2 linked regions of the Arabidopsis thaliana genome follow. The protein of the gene in region 2 interacts with the protein of the main gene of each other region in a biochemical or structural test. Each region holds a gene or a part of one and is shown on either strand. Other genes may lie near its edges.

Region 1 (3,756 bases), on a different chromosome or scaffold from region 2:
AAAACTGTGAGGAAGCTTGCAAGAGTGCAACATCTATATTCTCAATTGGCAGGGAGACTTACGAAGGAAGATGATGAGGTGAGATAATAGTATTGGAATAGTTTTTACATTTCCAAGCTCTTCATTTCTTCGAATTAGCTTTAACCCTTTTTCTTTCTATCTGTCTATAGTATAAAATATTGGCTGCTCTGCATCCAACTCCAGCTGTTTGTGGGCTTCCAGCAGAAGAAGCAAGGCTTTTGATTAAGGAGATAGGTAAAATATCTACCTTGGTTCAACTATCTTCTAGTAACTATAGATGTAGAGATTAAGAATTATGCTGACTCAAACATTTTGCTTCTTCTAGAATCATTCGATAGAGGAATGTATGCGGGACCTATTGGATTTTTTGGTGGCGAGGAGAGTGAATTTGCAGTCGGGATCAGATCAGCTCTAGTCGAAAAGGTGAGCTTATTTGATCTCTTTCTCCCTTTAAAAAACACACTTTAACACTAATTGTTATAGCAAAATCGATCATTACGGTTTTTGCTACAACTTGTAAAAAAATGCTGAACTGTATTTTGATTTACAGGGTCTTGGGGCATTGATCTATGCGGGGACAGGGATAGTAGCTGGAAGTGACCCATCTTCAGAGTGGAATGAGCTTGATCTTAAGATATCTCAGGTACGAGCTTTTGTCCAGAAAATGTTTAGTGACATCATGGTTCTCTGTTACCAAAATCCTAATTTTTATTCTCTCTTTTGTTGTTGTTTTTGCAGTTCACCAAGTCAATTGAATATGAAGCAACAACATCTCTACAGGCGATTAATTGAAGAAAGAGTAACATTTGTATTTGATTGTTTTGTTTGTATGGGGGATAAGGGGTTCTCACAATAAGAAAGCAATGTTGTCTCTCTTGTAAATTAAAAAAGAAATGCTTTAATTTGTTAATGGGCCGAGCCTTTTCGGGTTGTAACTAGGGCAGGCCTATCATGAATGTTCATAGGCCTAGCTGTTATGATTGTTAATGAGCTTCTATAGTGTTTTTCTTCAAAGACAGATATATTCAATATGGATCTAAAACTGAACTGAATTTAACTGACATGACAATCGAATCAAATTGAATTTATTTTTTCAATTTTCATTTAGCAAGAAGTGACCCATCTTCAGAGTGAAGTAATCTATGCTTATTATCTCGATTAAGCAAAAATCCGTAGAATGCTTGGGCCTTTCAACGATGATGTAGCCGTGTAGGACAGGTTTACGGAATCTGCTTTTATGCAAATGGTAAATATTAATATTCCTTTATAAGTTAGCGTTTCAGATCATCTTCTTTCGTTAGATTAAGAAACTACTTTGTTATTATATAACTATAAATACCATCCAACAACCTTACTCGCCATATCTTTTCATGTGTGGTGGTTTATAGGAACATTGAAAAGTACCATATTATAAAATGAAGAATCAACACGTCAACAAAAACACAAATAAAATGAGATAGTACAATTAAAAAAATGGAGCGCATGTAAAAAGTGAAGAATCAAACGAAGGCTTGGCGATAGAGAATGGAATCAGATTTCCCATTATCCCCACTCTAACACCATATATTCCTTTCCCTTTTTACCCTCCACCTCAATTAGGTTTATTAATCATATTTAACACTCTAATTAACCAACCCATTTCATCTCTTTTATTTTACTAATCACAATGCTTTGGCCTCATTACGTTTTACCTAGATTTACTTTGTCACAAACTACACAAATATGAACCTAATTATCTACACTCGTGTCAGAAACAGTTTTAGCTAATATTTAGTAAGTTTTAATTAAAACTAATGAAATGAATAAATAGTGTATAGTACATAGGATTTGTTTTTAGTTTATTAATGGAAATTAAGATTTCATTAGTACTAAAAACATGTAAATAAAATAAAGCTTTAAAGAGGAATATATTCAAATAAAAAAAGCAAGACCTCGAAAAAAAAACTTTCTATTATCTCTCTTCCGCGATTACCGTAATCTCTGTCACAAACAACAAAACCTTCTCTCTCTCACTATCTTAATGAGAGAAGAAGACATTCTCGAGAAATGAGAAGACTACCACTACGATGAACACGACGCCGTTTCACTCGGATCCTCCGCCGTCGAGGATCCAGCGTAAGCTCGTTGTCGAAGTTGTTGAAGCTCGTAATATTCTCCCTAAAGATGGTCAAGGAAGCTCTAGCGCTTACGTCGTTGTCGATTTCGATGCTCAGAAGAAACGAACCTCCACTAAGTTCCGTGACCTAAACCCTATTTGGAACGAGATGCTTGATTTCGCCGTCTCCGATCCCAAAAACATGGATTACGACGAGCTCGATATCGAGGTTTATAACGATAAAAGATTTGGTAACGGAGGTGGCCGGAAGAATCATTTTCTCGGTAGGGTTAAGATCTATGGAAGCCAGTTCTCGCGAAGAGGTGAAGAAGGTCTTGTGTATTTCCCTTTGGAGAAGAAGAGTGTGTTCAGCTGGATTCGCGGCGAGATTGGACTCAAAATCTACTATTACGACGAAGCCGCCGACGAAGACACGGCGGGTGGAGGTGGAGGACAGCAACAACAACAGCAACAGCAACAATTTCATCCGCCGCAACAAGAAGCCGATGAACAACAACACCAGCAACAATTTCATCCTCCGCCGCAGCAGATGATGAATATACCACCGGAGAAACCTAATGTAGTTGTGGTTGAAGAAGGTAGGGTTTTCGAATCGGCTCAGAGTCAGCGCTATACAGAGACACATCAGCAACCTCCGGTGGTTATTGTTGAAGAATCACCACCGCAGCATGTAATGCAAGGTCCAAATGATAACCATCCTCACCGAAATGATAACCATCCTCAACGGCCACCGTCTCCGCCGCCACCTCCATCGGCTGGGGAAGTACATTATTATCCACCGGAAGTGAGGAAGATGCAAGTAGGAAGACCTCCCGGCGGAGATAGAATTAGGGTTACGAAGAGACCACCGAATGGAGATTATTCACCTAGGGTTATCAATAGCAAAACTGGAGGAGGAGAGACGACGATGGAGAAGAAGACTCATCATCCTTACAATCTTGTTGAGCCAATGCAGTATCTCTTCGTTCGGATTGTGAAGGCGCGTGGCTTACCACCTAACGAGAGCGCGTATGTTAAGGTACGGACGTCGAACCATTTCGTCAGGTCTAAACCGGCCGTTAACCGGCCCGGCGAATCGGTTGATTCACCGGAGTGGAATCAGGTTTTTGCTCTTGGTCATAACCGGTCTGATTCCGCTGTAACTGGTGCGACTCTTGAGATCTCTGCTTGGGATGCTTCGTCGGAGAGTTTTCTCGGAGGAGTTTGTTTTGATCTCTCTGAGGTTCCGGTTCGTGACCCGCCGGATAGTCCGCTTGCTCCTCAGTGGTATCGGCTCGAAGGCTCCGGCGCGGATCAGAACTCTGGGAGAATTTCCGGTGACATTCAGCTCTCTGTTTGGATTGGTACTCAGGTAGATGAGGCATTTCCGGAGGCTTGGAGCTCTGATGCTCCGCATGTAGCTCACACGCGTTCTAAGGTGTATCAATCGCCGAAACTTTGGTACTTGAGAGTGACGGTTCTTGAGGCACAGGATTTACACATAGCTCCTAATCTCCCGCCGTTGACTGCGCCTGAGATTCGTGTGAAAGCTCAATTAGGGTTTCAGTCGGCGCGTACAAGAAGAGGCTCAATGAATAACCACAGTGGTTCGTTTCATTGGCATGAGGATATGATCTTTG
Region 2 (3,756 bases):
AAATTTCGTCACTTGATATTATTTCTTCTATTCTACTAAGAACCAACTAGGTAATACTATCACAAGATTTCTTGCACTTGAAAATCGAATCGGGAGAGAAAGGTATTTTAGATTAATTTCCATGACATTCTGTTATCTTAAACACTATTGATCATGTTAACATAAAAACAATTTTGGTCTTCTTTTTAGGTAACTGATGATTTTTAGTGTTACGTTAATTATGATTCTCTGACGTACGTTATATTATCTTTGGTCCTCTAACGTATAAGCGTTACATATTTTTTCTTTTCTTTTTCCAACTATACTTTAACCAGAAACCTACTCCAATCCAATCAAGACTTCAAGAGGGTATGTGTCTACGAAAGAAATTTCAAAAGAAATAAGTATATTAGTATAGAAAACGCTAAAGTGAAAGTATCTGAAACGTTTACTGAAGAAAAATTCGAATCTTTGGTTTCCAATATTGTGATGAATCTTTTAATCATAGGTTTTGAAAACTAGTTTGGAATTTGTCAAAATATACTGGTTATAGAAAAAACGTTGAAGTATACAATATTGCTTTTATCTTCCCATACGTAACTTCTGTTTCCGGGATCATAATGAAAATTATGAAGAAAAAAAAATCATGAGTATCCTAAACGTGCATAAGCTAAATGAATTCCGCAATATGATTTTTACAATTAAACTTTTGTTATTTTTTTCAATTAGCTTTGTTTGGGTAAAAAGTAACTAAGTAAGTATTAATGTTTATTTTCATTATAAAAACAGTAACTCAGAGATTTGAACATACAGTTTCGTCGGTTTTGGGGCATAAAACACAAATAAAAAGAAGCTTGGTTTTGATCTTACTTCGGTAAATGTATTTATGGATGATACCTCAAATCGATCCACGTTATATAGAATGAGCCAAACGAGTATCTTATTAACCAAATTTGTTTTTTTTTTCTCATATCAGCAAACGGCATTATTACGATTTACGAGTGTTGATTTTATTAACCAAACCGAACCAAACAAACTTAATTTCATCCAACACGAACCCAACTCAGCACAGACCGTTCGCTTTTAAGCTTTTGTTCAATCCAAACCGAATCAATATTCTAACCTGTTCATTTAGACAACTAATTAAATAAATATGATAATCTCTAATTAGTAAGTTAGTGAGAAAGAAGAAGTTAGTATTGATACTTTAGTATCATTTTTTTTTATTGTTATTATAAATATTAAATTTAGTACCACTAACCCTGAAAAAATTCATGAGATTTCTATTTCTGAATAATTTAGTTTTTACATCTTCTTATCACTCGCAAATTTCTAATCGAATTCTTACCGTAACACCTAAACCGAATATAACCGAAATAAATATAAAGTCCACCTCAAATCAGCACTATATATCAAACCAAAATTGTATCAAATCTATAATACACTAAAGAAACAACAATGATTGAACTAATTAACATTTCTCGACACTGAAGAAACTAAAAAATCGAATAAAGCAGAATTACTCTACCGGGTTAAACCCGGTCTGGATTATCATTCACCCGACCCGGTTCTAAACCCGTTTTAAAAGTAACGCGCTCGGGAATATCAGTACATGGGCCCAAATTACTATGCTGATACATTCAGTTAATGATAACGTTACCGTCACAGTAAAGCTAAACAACTTCGATTCGATTAAAAAAAAACTCGCCGCTTATAAACGGCGTCTGCCCAAAAAAGTAGGAAACTCAGAAGTAAAAAAAAACCAAAATCGCACCTCCATGACCACCGTCTCCTCCGCTTTCGCCACCGTAGCGGAAGGCGCGAAGGTTGTCACACCGAGATGGAAGAAGAATGAAAGAAATGGAAAGTTACGGGTGATGTGTAGGTATGGCGGTAGTATAGTTTCACCTCCGCAGACGAAATCGCCGCGTTATGTAGGCGGAGATACTCGAATCGTCGCCATTCCTTCTTCCGCGGAAACGAGCTTCGCTTCTCTTGTTAGCCACCTTACGGTTACGCTCAAAATCTCTTATCCTTTCAAAGTTAAATATCAGCTTCCTGATCAGGAACTAGATTCGCTTATCTCCGTCGAGGCGGATGAGGATGTTCAGATCATGATGGAAGAACACGGTTATCTCTCCTCCGAGTCCTCGATTCCCCAATCGCGTATCCGATTGTTTCTTTTCCCATTGAAATCACAACAATCGAATGAAGCTGGTGCGAGTCAGGGAGATTCGGATCAGTGTAAAGTGGAGACCGATATCGATTGGCTTGGAATCGAAGAGTCTAATAAGCCTATTCGTGAAGAATTGACTCAGCCGGTACTTCAGCACCCTAAGACGGAGATGTGGTTCGTAGACGCTTTGAAGAGCGTGGAGATGATGCAGACTAGACGAACTAATAGCGGAACTAGCGGAAGTGGAGATGGTAACGGCGGGATTTGTGGACAGGAGTCGATGATGCTAGAGACTAATTCATCCTTTGGCTCGACATCATCCTCGGTTTCGTCGAGCAATTTACCTCCGATAAAAAGCTCCGGCGAGGACAACATAGCGAACTCGCAAGTCAAATTTGCGCCAATAGAATCAGTGACAAGGTATTCTTCTATGCTCTTAACTGTTTGATTTCACCATTTGATTGCTTTATCGAATAGTTTTAGGTGTAAGCGTTCTAAAACTTATGTACACAATTTGTTGTCTAGGAAATGCAATGTGCTATGAGTTTTTGAATTGTTTAGCCAGTGACACAAATGAATTTGGTAGTGTTGCAGAACGAGTTTAAATGTGGTAATATATAAGCTATCTCTTGAAGTAATGATTGGAAACAGAAACTGAATTCTTGGAATGATCCTGTAGTCGAATTAGGTTCTCGTCTTCATGTATATGATCTGTGAATGAGTTCATAGGCTTAGGCAATCAGGAGTTTGTCTCGTTTGCCATTGTGTTATGGTAATTCTCAATTCGGATCAATGTGCTCCGAGTCTCGGGGATATGTTGTTCCTCATTTGGTATTCAGCTACGAATGTAATCTTCGAATTATATGTATTGGTAGAGAAGGTGCCAATCCTCTAAACCTTGTTTAGTTGGAAAGCCTTTTTGTAACTGTTAACCATTTTTCCTTTTGTTCTTACTCTACGAACAGCAACGACAATTCTGCAGTCACCCCAATACCTTCCCACGAGCTACCATCACACTCACATGCTTTTGAGAACAAACCGTCTTCAAACTTGTATGTGGCTGAGCTAAACAGACCAGTTCCAGTCCCAATTTCCGGGTATCCACCATTTATGAACCAAGCTCAACAACAACATATCCAAGTCATTTACACTGGACAACCTTACATTACCGGAAACTCACCTATGACATTGCCTGCCACAGCATACCATCACACAAACCACGTCTATTATCAGCGTCCGCCACAACCATACCCAATCTATTACATTCCAGTCGAGCAGTACAGTTCGAGGCACGTTCAAGCACTGCCTGTGAAACCGAGCACCGTTTTAAACTATCACCAAGTTGATTCCCCGGTGGTCCGCACCAGCAGCCCTCTAGCGCCAGAGTTTTCCTCACAGGTTTATCCTCTATCCAAACCCGTTGATTCATCGGTACAGACATCAAGTGAAGCTACTCTTAATACTACTTCAAGAGATGCTTTCATCTATAATACCGATGTCGATGACGACAACGATATAGCTCATGCTCAAATTTACAAATCTCAGCCTCCAGCTCCCACATTACCGTCTCAGTATTAAACCATTATGGTAACCGAAGCTTT

Evidence for each region.
Region 1: the proteins of AT5G16220 (region 2) and QKY form a complex in vitro, tested with the Arabidopsis thaliana proteins (one study listed by BioGRID).

The regions. Positions count from the first base shown.
Region 1 is NC_003070.9:28,073,086-28,076,841, forward strand, and holds the start of QKY (C2 calcium/lipid-binding plant phosphoribosyltransferase family protein), read left to right. Parts: upstream 1-1,841; 5' UTR 1,842-2,087; coding exon 2,088-3,756. Other genes in the region: EDS16 (ADC synthase superfamily protein), read left to right, coding at 1-78, 171-255, 347-444, 572-877. UniProt on the Arabidopsis thaliana protein: May be involved in Ca 2(+)-dependent signaling and membrane trafficking. Plays a role in fruit dehiscence. Components of the machinery involved in organ development mediated by the receptor-like kinase STRUBBELIG (SUB).
Region 2 is NC_003076.8:5,298,581-5,302,336, reverse strand, and holds the start of AT5G16220 (Octicosapeptide/Phox/Bem1p family protein), read left to right. Parts: upstream 1-1,694; 5' UTR 1,695-1,757; coding exon 1,758-2,575; intron 2,576-3,120; coding exon 3,121-3,733; 3' UTR 3,734-3,756. UniProt on the Arabidopsis thaliana protein: Collaboratively with SUB and QKY, regulates cell growth anisotropy during gynoecium development, thus linking together cell-cell communication and cellular growth.